2 linked regions of the Notamacropus eugenii genome follow. The protein of the gene in region 1 purifies or fractionates together with the protein of each later gene. This does not show direct contact. Links are inferred from orthologs where the notes say so. Each region holds a gene or a part of one and is shown on either strand. Other genes may lie near its edges.

Region 1 (9,500 bases):
ATTTAAGACTTATGGAAGTGATTGTTGAAAATTGAAAACAAATAAATTAAATTTTAAGAAAATTTTACATTTTCTAAATCCAAATCTAAAAGTGTAAAAACATTCTTCAAATGGAAACAAATCTTTGGAAAATTCTTACTGTAGGCTAGAAATAAAAAGGAAGAGGAAAGAAATAAAAAATGAAATAAAACCTTATAAAGATATTTATTTAGTAGAACACCACAAACAAAAAGAGCAAAGATTGGAAATGATAAAAATAAATCATTATTCACTTAAAAAGAGAAAATTGCAAATTTTCTCAGGTCTCTTTAATCTGAAAAAAAAATTCCTTGATCCTTTCACCTCATTTAGTTGCCAATGAAAAATCTCTTTCCTTTACTACTAAACTTAACGAAGAAATTTGCCTATATCATATGCTCTTACATCATTCCTATCCCAACCCTTATTCTCTCCTTAACTTCTTGCAATCTGACTTCCACCAGGATGAAAGTCCTTCAAAATCTAACCCCTTCCTGCCCTTCCGGACTTCACATGTTTTTACCTTCCTCTATACACTCTACCATTCAGCAACACTGGATTCTCACAGAGAGTACTTTATCTCCTCCTTACCTTTTCACTATTTCCCCTATGCCTTGGGTGCTCTCCAACCTCACCTCCAGCTCCTAGCTTCCCTTGCTTCTTTCAGGATTCAGCTCAAATCCCATCTCCTGCAGGAGGCCTTCACCTCCCTTTTCTTCCTCAATCTCCTAAACAACCCCAGGCCTTCATTGTGAGATAACCTTCCATTTCTTCTTAATATTTCTTGTTTATACAGTTATTTCCATATTAGTTCCCCTATTAGAATATAAGCTCCATGAATGCAGGAACCGTGTTGAATGTCTTCTAGGTATCCTCAGAGCTTAGCACATTGCCTATCACTGTTTGTGTAATTAATGCTTATTCAGACTTACTGATTATTCCTTGTAACTCTGCTGAAGTGATCCCCCAAAAGTTTAAGAATGACCACCTAATAACCAGCTGACTTTTTCCAGTCCTCACCTGTCTCAGCAGCACTTGTCACTGATGACTACTCCCTCCTACTGGATTTTCTCTAATCCCTTGGCTTCACAGACTACATATTTTCTAGATTTTTCTCCTACTTTGCTAACTCCTTTTCTCTATCCTTCATTGGCTCCTTGTCTTCCAAAACTCCCAAGACTTTTTCCATTCTATCATTTATATTGTTACCAGACTAATTTTTTTTTTTTGCTTGGGTCTATTAATGTTACTTTACCACTCAAAAATCTTTAGGGGCTTCTTATTGCCTGCTTGAGACAGTCCCAGCTCCTTTTAATCCATCAATCAACAAAAAGTTAACTACCTATTATGTACCAGGCAGTTAGATTAAATGCAATGGTATAGTAAAGTATTTTCATAAATGTCAAGTATTGCTTCTTCCCACTTGGGATCCCACTAAAATGGTGGATCTCAACCAGTAACAAAGACTCTATAAACTATTTTTCTTCTTGCTACTAAAAAAATACAAAAAGTACTTGTCCTGAGTACTTTCAGTTGGGAAATAATAATAATAAATAATAGGTCATATTTGTATGGTGCTTTAAGATTTGCAAAGCACCGTACAATATTACATCATTTGAACCTCACAACAGCCCTACAAGGTAGATACTATTTTTATCCTCAGTTTATAAATGAATAAACAGAGGTTAAGAAAGATGTGAGTTGAGGAGGTAGAGAGGGAATGTGAGGAAGGGATGTCACAGCTACTAAGCGTTTGAGTCAGGATTTGAATTCAGTACTTCCTGACTCCAAGGCCAACATTCTTATCTATGCACTTCACCAGTTAGTTGTTGGAATTAGGAATTTCCAATGTCAGTATTAATTCATTTCAGAAACAAGCATATAGCCTCTGATGCATGTTAACCACTCATGCGACTGCTGGACATCTTTATTGATTTAGATCACTTAATTCGAAAATTGTCCAGCAATATCACTGACTCCTCCCTATTATAGCAGAAGCAAAAGGGTGGACAAAGTTCTTTTACTACCTGCCAAATCTAGGTTTAGATATTTATATTCTTATCCATTTAGTTTTTCATGTTTAGCTGGCCTCCAGATTTTCATTTGAGTCCTGGTAGGACTTTAGACCACACATTAATGATATCACTTCCCATGGTATCAGAAACACGTTCTTATCAGCATTGGCAAATTGATGTCAGACCCACTGATCCCTCGTCACCTCAACCCAAAGTAGTGCAAATTTTAGCCCAGTTTTTTTTTTTTAATTCTTCCTTTTAGCACTTTGCTTTGCATGAAAACAGTAAAGGACTAGAAGTTCTCAGAAGGTAGGCTCCTCACCACTTCGGTGTTCCACTGAATTCTTCTAAGGAGTGGACACAGAGACATGCACCTAATAAGTATCCAATATGATAGCAGCTAAGATAATTGAGGAAGCTCCACCTCCATGTCAGATGGAAGCATGGCAGCTTGTCCTCTGGCCTCCAGTTGCATCCCAGCTGTTCACAGTGTAATGATATCGCTTCAGGCTATGCTTTCTTGAAATACTTTGTCTGTCCACCCTGTTCACAAGAGCCTTCCTTCAGTTCACTTTCAAGCAGATGTTCAAGTTTTCTGCTGCGTCCATTCTCACGTGACCCAGCCAGGACAGCTTACCACAAACTTCAGATTAGTCATGGCAACAGGGGAATGAGGAATGCATGAATAATTAAAATCCACAGATCATTTCCAGTACCTCATTTTAGCCAACAGATTCAACTTTTCTCCTAACCATAACCTTTTGCTGAAACGGCAAGCACAGCACAATAGATTGCCTTGGAGAGCATCCCTTTTTTCTCCTGCTTTTCTTCACCCTTGGGTGAAATTAGAGCTATGAAACAGCCAAAGAGCCACAGGGAAGGGAATAAGGAGCCCCAAACCAGCCCATACATATAAAAATAACTGTGCTGTCATGGAAATAGCACTGAGCAGAAATTCAGGAGAACTGACCAAGAGCTGTGCAGTTTTGAGTAAGCCACTTCTCTGGGATTTAGCATTCTTATCTACAAATGCGGAGGATGAACTTTAGAATCTGAGATCCTATTAATGTATATTTTAGCAAGCTATTCTTTTTACCAAGTTTTGACTGAGTGGCCGATTTTCTCCAATCATCTGATATGACCCCTAATATATGTGTAGCATTGATCTTACCCACCATGCCTTTTACTCTTAATATCTCGCTGGTAGCAGATCACACAAATCTTCCAGCTCTTAAGCTGAAAGCTTTTGTATTGAAGGATTTTATTTGTGAAAATCAACTTAGAAGTCTTCAAATCCAACCCATTTCATTTTAAAGCTAGATAAACTGAGGCCCAGGGAGGTTAAAAGATTTGTCCAAGGTTACACATGAAGCAAGCATCTTGGTGTATAGGGGATCTTAATGCTTGATTTCATAAAAGTATCTAATACATAGCAATCAATTTTTTTAAAAAAAACCACAAACTTCAACATTCATCTCAATCCAAAAGGAGCGTTCTGGCTGCCCTGTGTCTCCACAGTTTCTCCTTCTCTTTCCTCAAGTATCTCCCCATCATTCGTTTCTCTGTACTCCCCTGTACCTGCCCCCAGTCATACCACTTTTCTCTGATTTCAAATCATAAGGATGAAGAAGGGGCAGGAAAAAAGCATTTATATAGCATCTACTCTGTGCCAGGTACTGTGCTAAATTCTTTTTGCAGTTATCTCATCTGATCCTTATAACAATCCTGCAAGATAGGTACTGTTATTATTCCCATTTTATAATGGAGGAAACTGAAACAAACAGAAGTTAAGTAACTTACCCAGGATCATGCAGCTAGGAAGTTTTCTGAGGCCAAATTTGAACCCAGGTCTTCCTGATTCCAGGCCCATGCCCAGACTCAATCCACTGTGTCATGTCATTCCCACCTTCACCCTCTCTCCTCAACCTCATGCCAGAAAATGTGAAAGAGAGAAAAATGAAAATCACATGGTAGTCTTATTGTGAAATAACTCTACTGGGGGAAAGGTGCCCTAAGTATGTGGGCTGGATTTTCAATTTTTCATTGCATTCCTACTTGTCCACAGAGTAATTTCATTTATGCTGGGACTGATTTCTTTCAGATCCTGAATGTGTGGGGCCATGCTAATTTGCATAGTTGTTGCATTTTAAGTATATTGAACATGATGCATATTCAATCTGCTAACAAAACCAAATGAATATGCTGACAGGAATAATATATTTAAGAGCTGATGGATTGCTAACTGGCTTTCTTTCCTGAAAACATTTTTAAAAGTTCTTCTTCCTAAGTAATAATTTTCCAACTCTCTAACACTGTAAGGATTTCTCTTAGAGTTTCAGTTTAGAACAAATTAAAAATTCCTTTCTAATTATGTCATTATGATCACATCCTAGAAATTTATACGCTTTTAATTCATGTTTCGTTTGCATAATAAAAAGTCCTCAAATTGCTTTTGTACTTTTATGTATCTTCTGTATTTTAAAATACCTCTTGCAATGTCTTCAGCAGTGATACTAGATTTGGGGTTGGCTGTATTTGCTTTCCTAGAAAAACATATTTAGAGGAATTTTTTTTTTTTAGTTTAGAAGATTTTAATTTGAATTAGAATTTCAGTCATTTTTCCGTATTATTTTACTAGCTTATTTGTAAGAATAAGCCCTACGCCACTGATTAATGAAAAATGACTAGTGATACTGTAATATAACATAAAACTGACTAATAGCCAGTGAAAAAAGTTAAAAGACTTTTCAGCTTTTTTAAACTTTTGCTTTAAACAAACATGGACCAGTAACTATTGACTGAATTTGGCAGTAATTCACTCAATAAGTGTAACTGTAGGACAGAAACGGCATATTGTAAAGTAAAAAACATTTATCATTGAAAGTAAAAAAAGAGAATGAAATGCATTGCTGTACTTGTGCCTGCCCCCAAATGATTTTTGGCATACTTTAAGAGAAATAAGACATAAATTAATGCACAAAGCATTTTGAATGTTCTTCCTGAACAAGTCCAGTCAACTTCTCCACATCAAACAGATCCGAGAGCCTTTTGCATTTTTAAACGATCTTCAATAGCATTTAGAAATCTCACATTGCTTTCCTTTCTTGGCTTGTAACAAAATACTTCTTTCCTTTAAAGACCTGTCCAAGGAATCTGTGCACAGCTGACCCAGAGGCAGTGTTTTTCTAAACAATACTCACATACACACAAAAAAAGTTCATTTATTTTGTACAACTGAAAATATTTAACTACATTTTCATGAGCTCAGTCAAAAATATCACTCATCCATGTACTGACTGTGACAGTTCAAATGCAACATTTTAAAGTAAAATAAAATAAAAATATTTTTAAAATATTTTTTTAAAAAACAGTATTCATTAAGCTCCTACTATGTGCAAGTCTTACTATGTGCACCTATTACTCTTATTATGTGTAGGTAAGGCACTCATTCTGTCTTTACATATATCCTTTCAGTCAAAATCAAATTAACCTGTTTGAAGATAGGATACTAGACATATACCTACCCTTCATTCAGTATTCTTTTTCAACTAAGAAACTAACTCCAAAAAGTACATTTAATTTGCTTTGTAAATAAACTACTTTTTTACTCCTACAATAAATATTTGTAATCAGAACTCCCATGTACTAGTATCATAAGGGAGAAAAAACAAAATAATTCAGAAGTGAGAGAACAGCATTGGGATCACCGAAGACTTTGTCTATAATACCTGTTTTCGAGCATACTGTATCATCTTTAAAATAGTGCATTTTTGAGCTAAACCAAAAACAGTACAATGTGCTAGATTATTTTTATGGCTACAATTACATAAGCATTATTTACATGAGGAAAAACCATGCTAAGCCAGAAAAGGTGGTTGCTGTGGCTAAAGTATTCTCTAATATAGGTCCCTTCTGTAAAAGTGTACATTTTAATCACCTTTCAAAAATTAAGCATTTTTAATGTTTTCAATGTGGACCAATTAATGTTGGAAGAAATATATATGCATGTATCCAGAATATCTAACATCTATACTTCTAATATACATTGTTGTCATTTCTTCAGGAAACCTAAAAACATGGTCCTTCTTAAAATTTAAATGAGGTTTGTACCCTTCAGAATCTTTTCTTGATACTTGAAAAATGGCAGCACCTACCAAGTAATTCAATTGTTTTGTTAAATCTACCTTCCACATTCTGAAGAACAGTTTAATAAATTATGAATTGAAACAATTTTAGTTCATCAGAGCATTATTCCTTCAAGATATCTGATGAATAAAAATAAGAGTTAAAGGCTATATAGTTTTTATATGATACCAAAACCTTACAACTTTCTCTTGTGAGACTTACACACTTTCTTAATTATTAGTAACAGGACATTGTGGTTTCTTACTGCTTTGTGACATTTGACCACTCATTTTTCTTGAAGGAAATTCTAATGTTTCTCAGTCAGAAACATTTTGTAGATAAATACTCACTCTTTCTCAATAACATAAGCATTCACTTTATTTACCTACAAAATGATGATTATAAAAATGAAGTGCTCTTCCTTAACTTTACTCAAAATAATGTAAAAATTAATTATGTCTCTGACTTCTCTCTAATGGTAATAAAACTAACTCAGAAAAGGTGGCTTTATAAAAAAAAATAAAACTATGTTAGTCTGGGTTGTGATGATCTCCTACTGTTTTTTTATTGCTACCATTATTTAAAAGATTAAATTAGTCTTCAGGTCTTGAAAAGTTTTCTAAAAGTAGTCACATATGTTCTAATGGCAAATGTGATCACTTCCATTGCACTGAAATAGAATAATATAATTCCTCAATATCAGTTGGAAGAAACATTGGAGTTTGGGAAGCAACGTGGTATGAATATTAGATTTGGTATTAGAGAAGTAGGATTCAAATCTCAGTTCTGTCATTAAACCTGTGTGGTGTTGGGCAAGTCCCTTTACCTCTCGGAGCTTTAGTTTCTTCCTCTGAAAAAGGAGAGAGACTAGAGGATCTCTAAGGTCCCTGCTAGCTCTGAATCTGTGATCCTAAGAATTTAACCTCATTATGACTCAAATACTAAGAGACCTTTTGTTTTAACTTGTCCCTGAGTAGGAATCCTCTCTATGCTATCCAGATGAATGGTCATCTCTTCTACATTGGGAGAACTCCAGAGAAATGTAATCTGGTTCAATTGGTCCCTAGCTAGGAATCCCCTCTACCCTATTCCAAATGAAGGGTCACCTATTTTCCATTGAAAGAGCTCTAGTAATAAAGAACTCATTCCTTCCTCAGGGAGTCCATTCCCAAGGTGCAGAGAAGGTAAATCACATACTTCATTTTATGGAGAAATGTTTGCAGTACTCCTTATTCTTTTATTTTAAATGTCATCCTCATACTTTTATCCTCTTCCTTTTTCCATCCTGGAATTTACATTCTTTGACATTAATTTTAACTCGACTCCTAGGGAGGTAAATGAGGTCACAGTACGAGGACTGCCTGACAGCAGGTAACTCAGGATCAGATTTAACAGTTAGCTAACTACTGAGAAACACCCTGAGAAATCATGGAAAGGAGGAGAAGAGGAAATGAGGACAGCATGAAGACTATAACTATATTGTTTCTGCACAGAACATGGGAAAAACCTGTTGTTCTTTCTTTTAAATCTTAACTTTAATAACTTGATATTTCATACGTCTACATCACTCATCTGCCCTAGAATTAGTGATGGATTAAGGTATACCCCTAGCTAAATCTCCCTTCTCTTCAAAAGATCCTCTTATGATGCCTTGTTTTGAATTTTGACACATAACCAGTGGATATTCCGCATCCCCCTTCCTCCCCACTATCAAGCAGAAGTTAAAAGTTGGAGCTGAATTTGCATGTTAAGATTTCAAAGAAGCGTCTGAATGGGAGTAAGGCTCACACGGAGGTTACAAAAGGAATTAGACTTCTTTGGTAGTAGATAGAGAAGAGAAAGATGGAAGAGGCATTTGAATTTTTAGGGTCCTTTTGTGTTTTATCACCTATTCAATCTGTATAACTCAGCTTACATCACCCCATCTCTTCAGCCATATTTCAAAGATTTATTTTTCCCCTTACTCCCTTATTCCTTCTGTATGTTGATACAGTCACTTGTATATAAAGAATAATGCTGACTATGGCATTCTAATTTTTAAAAAAATAACACATTTTTCTTCTGTGAGTCAGCCACTCATTGTAAGAAGATTGTTAACTGGTATTCTGCTTTTGACAATTCTTAAGATTATTACTGGAGTCTGTAACTGGAGAACCATGTTAGAAAGTGATTGGGCTTGCTAACTACAGGGACTGAAATGTGTCTCTCCTGAGCATGAAGGAAGCAGGCAGTTTGCCATATATACTTCTCTTGCATAGTCAGATAAGGAGGTCCGATGCTCTCTAAGAGAGGTTTTTTTTTAAAATTTCTTAGTTATAGTGTCCATGAGACATGTACTTTTACAGTCTCTTTCAAGTTGTATTATTTTATTGAGGATAAAATTTTTCTTCATAGGGGTGGGGCAAGAAATTTGAAGAATCTCCTTTATCTTGCATTGTTTGGTTTACATGTTTTAGATAACCGATTCACGTAAGATGAGTTGTCATATGTTTATACCTTGTTGACAGCTGTACAAAACTGATACATGGACTGATATTTCTACTCCTTAGTATTTTATATCCACTTCAGTTTTGTGTTTTAAGTCAGGATGTCTCAGAGAGACACATTTGCAAAGATACTTCATGTTTGTGTTTTCCTTTGTGCCATTGCCCATTTTCCATTTTATTTTATATGGATAACAATAGCCCATCATCCTTATTAATACCACTTTTGCTGTCAAAATTTAAATTTTTATTCTTATTGAAAGGCTATGAAATTTTAGGACAGTTTTCTTTTTGCTATAACTCCAAATTAGGTATGAATTAATTCTCTGTACACATTTAAAATTATATTCTGATTCTCTATTAAAAGAGAGAAGGAAGAGGACAGGGTTTTTTGTTTGTTTAATTTTTTAGTTTAGTTTTTTTTTTTTTTACTGTACTCAGGATGGTGTAGGGGTGGGGAAGGAGTAACTCCACAAGGATCAATTTTTATCTATATCTATTTGCAAGGAAGATATATTTTTCTTATTTTTTAACACTGTACTTAGCCATTAGGAATATAGTAAAGAAAATAACAACCTTGCTAAAAATAGTTTAAGCTATGAAACTAGCAAAGCATAGTTTAATGGAAAAGATTAAAAACGGAAACAATGCTATCTTGCATTGTGAACCAGACTCACAATTTCATTAATATAGATAGGGAGCACCTAGGTGAGGAAATTCCTTAAAATAATTCAAGTCTGTACTTTCTTTGTACTTTATGGTTTTTAAAGAGCTGCCTAGAGTTTTAGAAGAGGCTAAGTAAGAAGGAGAAGGAAATAAGAATTTATTAAGTGCCTACTACATGCCAGGTATTGTGCTT
Region 2 (8,498 bases), on another chromosome or scaffold:
TTCCCATCAAAATAACTCTGAGGTTTTGTGAAACTAGCCAAATAAATCTGAAATTTTGGTGCCTTTAGACATTTTAAACATAGCTGGCTACTTTAGTGTATTCCTAATTAAGTCATGAAACTTTGATTACAAGGAATCCATCTACAACTACATATAATTTTCACATTATGCCAATTTTTAAATAACAGAAAGGACACCTTCAAAAATGGCACCTGTGACAGAAGTTACAACAACTAGGAGCCAAGGAAAGAATAGGCTGCTGTATTCCAATACTCTCCCATCATGGCATGGAACATCCTGGGTTCTCAAAGGCTAAGCCAGCAAAGCATACACTCTGGAAGGTCCTACTAGATTTAGTCCCCCAGTCTGTTATCTAAGGACAGAATGCAGGTTATAAGGTGACAAAACATTTGGCCATAGAAACTCATTAATCAAAAAAAAAATTTTTAATGGCCCATGGTCCTGTGCAACCATGGTGGAGTGCTACAAAAGGAGGCAGAGCGTAAGGACTATTATCTATCCATCAGACAGCTGAAACAGTGAGTCGAAATAGTCTTGGGAAGCCCAAGATTCTTTAAAAGCACTTCGTATTTAATGAAGCTGAAGCATTACATTCATTTTAAAGGTGAACCAAGAATAAGACTTACCAGCGGTTTCTACAACATTCAAATGCAATTTTCTTGAAATTAATACCAGTAAAATGTGGTAGAATACATTTGTGTTTGAGAAATAACATTCTATAATCATTCTTCTGATTCCTGATTAAGAGGCTAGACTCCTCATTAAGGACTTTTTCCCCTACCTGCAGTCTGAGACAGTGTATAATCCAAAAGTGGAACTCTCAAGCAGTTAATGGTGTTAAATATTCCTCACACTGTTATATGTCACAAAGAAAATGAAATTAAAATTCAAGAACAAGAAACAAATGACTGTCACAGCACTTTGGTTTTCCAAGCATTTTGTTTCCAAAGCAGATTTTTAAAGGACAATAACCAACTAAATGTAATTAAGTTTATTCCAATTGTGCTAACAAAATTAATTGCACAATTTATTTTTATTAACTCGTTTCTTTCTAATACACTAAAGTGACTGGCATAGTCTCAGTTTCAACAAAATAAACTGTCTTCTTGAACATTTTTGTCTGAAATTTACCCTAAGGTTAAGTTTGCTAATATTTTTTGACTATGCTGCTGAATAACATTTTTTTTTAAAGGGAAGCAAATTGGGTTAATTATATGGCACTATACCTTTGAAGATAAACAGAAAATTCTTCTGGTAGTCCAGTGACTTACAGAACTTGGAAACAAAGTGTTGACATGTTTGATTTGCATGTAATTATAGATATATTTCTCTGTGCTGCATAAATACCACAAATAATACAACAAATGTGATTTGGCCCCTAGGATCATGAAGCATAGTACTGTGGTATGACCAACAAGGTATAAGGAATAGGGGTAATTAAAGAATATATTAGATGAAATCAAATTATCTTAATGGATTTTTACTCCTTTGATAAAATTTAACCATTTTTTCATTCTTCACATTCTCATCTTGAACTGCTACATAAGAGATGACCTTTTTTACTTTTATTTTTTTAAACTATGTTCTGGGATATAAAGAAGATTTTAATGTGTTATATAAATAATATACTAGTAATGCTGTATATAGACAAACAGACCTCTCTGGAAAAAAAAAATACAAGTGCTGTGTATCAGACCACTGAGGTTGTACTTTCAGGATTTACTCGAATAAGTCTAGATGCATTCCTCAAGTCTTGGAGTTGCTTGGCAGGTTTTCCTACACCTTGCTCAAACCTTTTTTCCACCACAGGGAGGACTGTTTCATATAGAAAGGATGCATTCTGTCTGATAAAGGCTTTCTTTTCTGGGTCCTGTTCACATCGGAGACTGTAATCCACATGTTGAACTGCAACCAATATTATTTCCACAAGACTCTCTAGAAGCACCATATGCAGCTCTGGAAAATACAATTTCAGAGCTTCTTCCAAGAAGCCCATAGTTTGTTTAGTGAAGGCCACTACTGTGTAGCTTAGGTTCACCCAGCAGTCATCCCCTGTGTACTGTTCAAAATTGCTCACCCCACAGCTTTTCATCTCCTCTTTGAGTTTCCCCAAGGCCTCTGGAGTCATCAGGTTCATCCTCCTCCACATTTCCTCAGAGTTTCGGTGCTTGGTGGCCTCAATTATGATTTCTTTATAACTGTGCAAAGCTCCTTGGATATCCTTCACCAGGAGTGCATGGATGATGAAAGTAAGGTCTAACCCAATATCACCCAACTGCTGGCAATGTTCCTTAGCCACCTTTACACACTCGGCTGCTGTAGACAAGCTCTCCTTGCTGTCAAATACCTGCTTGCTAAAAGCATCCACAAACATGCCCATGGCTGAACGGGCCCAAACAATAAAGGCAGAGTAGCAACCACTGTTGGTGCCTGCAAAATCAGTTTCAAACTCCCTAGCAGTCTCAAGAAGGCTGGTGAAGAATACATGACATAACTTGTGAATGTAGAGTAAAGTGGCACCTTCAATTCGCAGCTGTCTGATGGCAGTGTGCACAGCTGCTGCCCTATTTCTCAAAAACAGTTCACAAGCCTTGGTACACTGGCCAAGTCGTATTAACTGAGAAACTGCCCTTCGAGTGGCCTTAGGACCGCCTCTTAGAGAACGATCGGGGGAAAGTTCAAAGACTAGCACTTCAGTGAGTTGCCGGACTCGCTCATCCACTTTGGCCCTCAGCTCCTTTACAGAAGGTGGGCACGGCTTGCCCTCCAGATAGTGGTTTAACTTATCCAACAAGTCCACCGCCCCTTCAAAGTCCCTCTGGGCAATACAAACATCCAGGTCCTCCGGCAACTCCTGGATCCATTCCATCGATAAGTCCACTTTCTCCTCGACCTCGGGAGAAGTAGGCTCCTCCTCCTCTTCATCGTCCTCAAATGGGTTGGTGGCCTGCGAAGAGACGTGGGGCGGGCCCCGCGGGGCGGCGGCCTCCTCCTGTTCCCTTCGCCTTTTCTCGCCGAGGGCCCGCTTGGTTTCCTCCAGCACTTCCAGCCACTCCCTTTTGATCTTGGCATTCTCCGCCTGAAAGATTCGGCTCTCGGGGAACATCAGCAGCTTGAACATGTCCTTCATGGGCGGGTTATCCTTGACGTTCACCACCGCCAGACGGTCCAGCGGGTAGAGGGCGTTGTAGCGGTACATGCCCCGGCGCTGGGGCAGCCAGGTGGCCACCAGCAGGCAGTCGTTCATGAGAAAACCGTGCACCCGCTGCAGCTGGGCCATGTGGTCCGCCTCATACTCCACCAGGTCCCCGTTGTAGACCAGGTACTGCCCGGGGGTCTCCAGCATGTCCCTGCAGCCCTCCACTTTCTCCAGCAAGGTGGTCAGCGTGCGCTGCTTGCCTTCCTCGCCCGCACTCTGGCTGTCCCGGGCGGCGCCCCCGTGGCCCGCGAAGAAGCCGGCCGGGCCTCGCAGGTGGTCTCGGCCTCCCGGGCCGCCCGCGCCGCCCTCCTCGGCCCCGGCGGCGGCTCCCGCGGCGGCGGCGGCGGCCGCGGCGGCGGGGAGCAGGGTGAGCGGGATGCTCTCGAGGCTGCTCTTCTGCTCCGTCAGCAGGTGGCTGAGCTGGTACATCTCGCTCTCCAGGTAGGAGATCTCGCGCGCCGTCTCGATGAACTGCCGGTAGTTCTGGTACACGTTGCGCTTCAGATTCTGGGCCGTTTCCTCGGCCAGCGCCTGGATCCGCTGCCGGTGCTCCTGCAGGTCCCGGTCGCCGTCCGACTGCTGCGACAGCTGCTTCACGTACAGCCGCGCCTCGAAACCGCTCGATTCCAGCTGCCGCCGCAGGCGGCTCGCCCCGCTGTCTGACATGGCCATGGTCATCGCTTCCCCCAGTCACTGTCACGGTCTCCGCGGCCGCCGAGACCCACCCAACTCCGACGGAGTTCAGGGACCGGGGGAGACGGGCGGAAGCGAAGTGAATGCGCCTGCGCGGAAGGAGTCGGCCGGCGCTGGCTGCCAATCACGACGCATGCGCGCCGAGGGCGGGCTTAAGGGGTGTCAGGAAAATGAAGCCACCTGACTGCTGCGCCTGTGCAAAAAAAAAAAAAAAAAACACTTAAGACTAAGAGAGGAAGAAAAGCAGGAGGCGGCGACTGGGAAACTCCCTCCGGTAGTCAAGGCTCTGACGACTCAGGCCTTCCCGGAGATACCGGAAGTTGATGGTTTGTGGTTCTCGCGAGATCAGCTTCCGTTTCCGACCCGCTGATTCAAAACTCCGGCGTCAGCCTGCAGGAGCCCAGCTGGCTGCACTGTGAGTTTGCATCTTTCGGTGTTTTCCGGCTCCTCCCTCCGGGCTCCTTTCCGCTCTCCCGGCCGGGATGGAAGAGGACTTTGTGCTGGCCCTGAAGCTGCAGGAGGAATGGAACACGGAGGTCCCGGCGTTCGTCTCGCCCCCGAAGGAGCCCAAGTCGCTGGTGGACGAGGCTTGGGAGCTCGTGGACCCCAACCCGGATCCCCGAGCGCTGTTCGTGCAGTTCAATGAGCTGTATTTCTGGGGGCGGCTGGAGGCGGTGGAGGTGAAGTGGAGCTTTCGGATGACGCTGTAAGTCCGTCCCCGCAGTGCCCTGGGGGCCGTGGGGGCGGGGAAGCCCGGGCTGCCCCGCCTGGGAGCGGTCCCTCGGGCCCCTTGGCCCCCGGCACGGACCTGGGCTGCCCCCGGCGCGGACCTGGGCTGCCCCGGCCCAGATTTCTTCTTGGAGCGATAAAGCCAAAAATGAGTTCTGCCGTCTTGTGCTTTTACCTCCCCCTCCTTCCTGCGTACTTTTGAATGCGGAGGACTGGGCCGGAACTTCGTAGTCTAGAACCTGCCTTGCCCTGAAGCAAAATCTGATGGAGAAGATACGCATCTTATCGTCCTCCCCAGGGCTTGAACCCAGTCCTAGCAGCCTTAGTGTTTACAAGTGCTCCCCTTCTTTTGCTTCAGTAGTAAGAATTATGTTTTAATGGATGTGGATTCTTACTGAAGCGCAGCCCCCCAAACTTTGATTGGTATGAGCGTCTGTGATCCTTTCCTCCTTCTGACCCCCCTCTCCGCTTCCACCCCCCCCACCCCGCTTCCGGCACTCAGAAATCACCACCTGGTAATCCACCCTCTGCCGCAGTGATTGGATTTAGATTTTGAAGGGGCTTCAGAAGTCATCTAATCCAATTTAGAATCACAGGACTTGAATTTGGTTACTAACTCTGCCACTTGATACATGTTTGACCTTGGGCGAGTCACTCAATCCTTCCTAGGACTCAGTTTTTTCTTCTATTTGTTGAAGGAGTTTGAATCTTCCATCCATGCCTTACTTTTCTTTGGGACTCTTATCCACATCTTTCTCAAAAAGCATTCCACAGGAAAGCAGTCAACTTGGTGTGGTGGCCTTTCTCTTGATATGCAGCAATTAGTCAGCAGCTAGTAAATGACCACTATGGGCTGGGCACTGGGCATATCAGTATAATTAATTAATTAAGCAATCCCTTTTTGCAAGCAGCAAGGAGCTGCTCCTAATAAGGGGCAGACAGCAATGACGTACAAGTATAAAAAAAACTCCAAAAAAACAGAATAAATACAAGGTGGTTTGAATTGCACCCTCAAGGAAGAGATTCTATGAAGCTGAGTTGAGATTGGATTGCATTTCAGGCTTGGGGGACAGTGAAGGAAAGACAGAGGTGGAAAATGGAGTGTTTGTGAGAAACAGGGAAGGCCAGTTTGCTGGATCTCAGAGTAATGGAGGGAGTAATGTCCAGTGAACCTAGAAAGATACCGTGGGGTCAGGTTGTGAGGGCACTGAAAGTCAAGAAGAGGAGTTTTTATTTGATTCCAGAGAAAACAGGAAACCACTGGAGGTTAATTAGAAGGGAAGAATTAGTCATATTTATGATTAAGAAAAATCACTTTGGACAGTACTGCCCTAAAGTAGAAACCCAGGAGTCCTGGCTCATCCTGCCTTGGCCTGACCCTCTTCATACCTGAGGCATACTGGTGAAATCTCTCCCTTAATCCTACTCTGTCACTTTAAATTGATGCTTGCTGATCGAGATATGAGACAAGCTCATAGTCATGTTTTCAAAAAGTCTGCTGTGAGAAGAATAATTCGAAAGTCAAATGAAGGCTTTGCCCAGGGTTTTATGATCTCTGCTTTCCCAGACAAGTTCTTCCTTGTGACATTCCTTGAGATAATATTTCAACTTGTTAAAATACAGCATCAAATGGAAAAACCAGAGGCCTCAAATGGGAATATCTCAGTGTGAGTTTCTTAGTTTGTGACCAGAGTCCTTTGATTCTCCTCTTGTAGTTATTGTGTTGGATGAGATGTCATCAAGAAATGCTGAGGCAGAAGGTTGTTGGTGTTCACTCTATGGAAAATGGCTATTCAAAGGGCTCCTGATAGCCTTTAAAAAGAGGCAGAGCTTGGTAATTTAAGTAGTTTTTAAGTTCATGTAAGGAATTTCCGGTCCTCATTTTTACCTTATGACCATCTGGAAGGGATCAAATTTTGAGAAATAGAAAGTGTTCTCCCCTTCTCCTCCCCCCCCACCCCCCAAATACTAGCTTACCAGAATGCTAAGATGCCTTTGTATTGGTAATGGCCGTATACCTAATTGCTGTTTTACTTTGTTTTGGCTCTTTAATGCCTGTTGTGTACCTCTCTTTTTACCTTGCTGGGTTTGTAAGTTGAGTTTTGGGACTAAATTCAGCTGAAATTTCTTTTGAGCTTCCTCTTGTAATTTAAGAATAGGCTAAGAGGCATTATAAAAAAAATCTGGGAATTGTAGCCTGGACTGAAAGTGGGGAGAGATTTGAATCTGGATGATCAATTAGGAAGGAGTCCTTCAAAGTAATCAAGTGAGAAGTGATTTAGGCTTGAACTTGGGTGGTTGCTGTATCAAGAAAGGGTCTGATAAAACATATCAGGTGTGATCTAGGTTGTGGAAGGAGAAACAGGTTTGGCAACTGATTCATTATGTGGCTACTGAGGAAATGAAGATAAGGCCAAGATTATGAACCTGGACAGTTGTAAGAATGATGGTGCCTTTGGCAGATATGGGGAAGTTTGGAAGAAGCAAGAGTTGATTCAGGGACAGAATAATGAGTTCTGTTTTAGACATGTTGAGTTTGAGGTATCTCAGGTTGTCCATAGGCATCTGGTCATGTGAAGTTGAAGCTCCAAGGAGACAATTGAGCTGGATCTCTGTGTCTTCCAAATCATCAGTATAGATTTGATAGTTAAACCTTTGAGAGCTGTAGAGGTAACCAAAAAAGAATGTTTAGAGAGAAAAGAAAGGTGTAGGAGACCCACAGTTGAGAGGCATAATTTGGATGATTAATTAGTAAGAGAATGAGAAGGAGCTTTTATACACAGAGGAGAACCAGGAGAAAGTAGTGTCACAGAAAAGGAAAGGAGAAAGCATCCAAAAAGTGCCCTTTTATGTGAGAAAAATTTCACATTCTGCCTTTCCTGTCCTCCTCCTACTGTATCCCCGTTTCTCACTACCACCCACCCTCTTTTTTTAATCATCTCAATGTTGTATTGGATTTAGACTTATGACCTCTATAGATTTTAACTACCCTAATAATGATAAAGTTCTTAAGAGTTATGTGTATCACCTTCCCATATAGCAATGTAAACTTTTGTGTCTTTTGTGATTGCTTATTAATGTTTATCATTTTATTCTCCTCTTGAGTCTTGTGTTTGAATGTCAGATTTTCTATTTATCCCGATTATTTTCATCAGGAATTTTCAAGCATTCTTTTTCCCCTGGAAGGATTATACTTAGTTTTGCTGGGTAGGTTATTCTTGGTTGTAATCCTAGTTCCTTTGCCTTCCAGAGCATATTCCAAGCCCTCCTCTTTAACATGGAGGCTGCTAAATCTTGTGTGATCCTGTCTACATAGTATTTCAGTGGCTTCTTTCAAGCTGGTTGAAGTATTTTCTCTTTGTCCTGGCATCTCAGAAAGTTGGCTATACTATGCGTGGGAGTTTTCATTTTGGTTTCTTTCAGGAGGTAATTGGTAGGTAGATTCTTTCAGTTTCTAATTGCCTGGTGGAGCTAAGATATTAGCACATATTTCCTTAATAATTTTTTGAAATTTGATGTCTAGATCCCTTTTTTTGGTGATGGCTTTCAGGTAGTCTAATAATTCTTAAATTATTTCTCCTCAATCTACTTTCCAGGTCAGTTATTTTTCCAGTGAGAGAGTTTATATTCTATTTTTCCCCCATTCTTTTGACTTTGTTTCTCGATGTTTTATGTAGTCCTTAGCTTCCACTTGCTCAATTCTAATTTCTAAGGAATGATTTTCTTCAGTAAGCTTTTTTTTTTTCCATTTAGCAAATTATGCTTTTTAAGGAGTTCTTTTCTTCAGTGAATTTTTGTGCTTCTTTTACCCTTAGTCCACTTCTGTTTTTTAAAGTTATCTTCAGTATTTTTTGTG

Evidence for each region.
Region 2: the proteins of EXOC2 (region 1) and EXOC8 purify together in Homo sapiens (affinity purification with mass spectrometry; 7 studies listed by BioGRID and IntAct, counting the BioPlex papers as one, with this or other methods). This does not show direct contact. The link is inferred for Notamacropus eugenii from reciprocal best matches to the Homo sapiens genes EXOC2 and EXOC8.

The regions. Positions count from the first base shown.
Region 1 is NC_092875.1:171,539,293-171,548,792, reverse strand, and holds the start of EXOC2 (exocyst complex component 2), read right to left. Parts: upstream 3,915-9,500; 5' UTR 3,834-3,914; intron 1-3,833. UniProt on the Homo sapiens protein: Component of the exocyst complex involved in the docking of exocytic vesicles with fusion sites on the plasma membrane.
Region 2 is NC_092873.1:389,686,548-389,695,045, forward strand, and holds the start of EXOC8 (exocyst complex component 8), read right to left. Parts: upstream 3,899-8,498; coding exon 1,712-3,898; 3' UTR 1-1,711. Other genes in the region: DNA-dependent metalloprotease SPRTN, read left to right, coding at 4,396-4,619. UniProt on the Homo sapiens protein: Component of the exocyst complex involved in the docking of exocytic vesicles with fusion sites on the plasma membrane.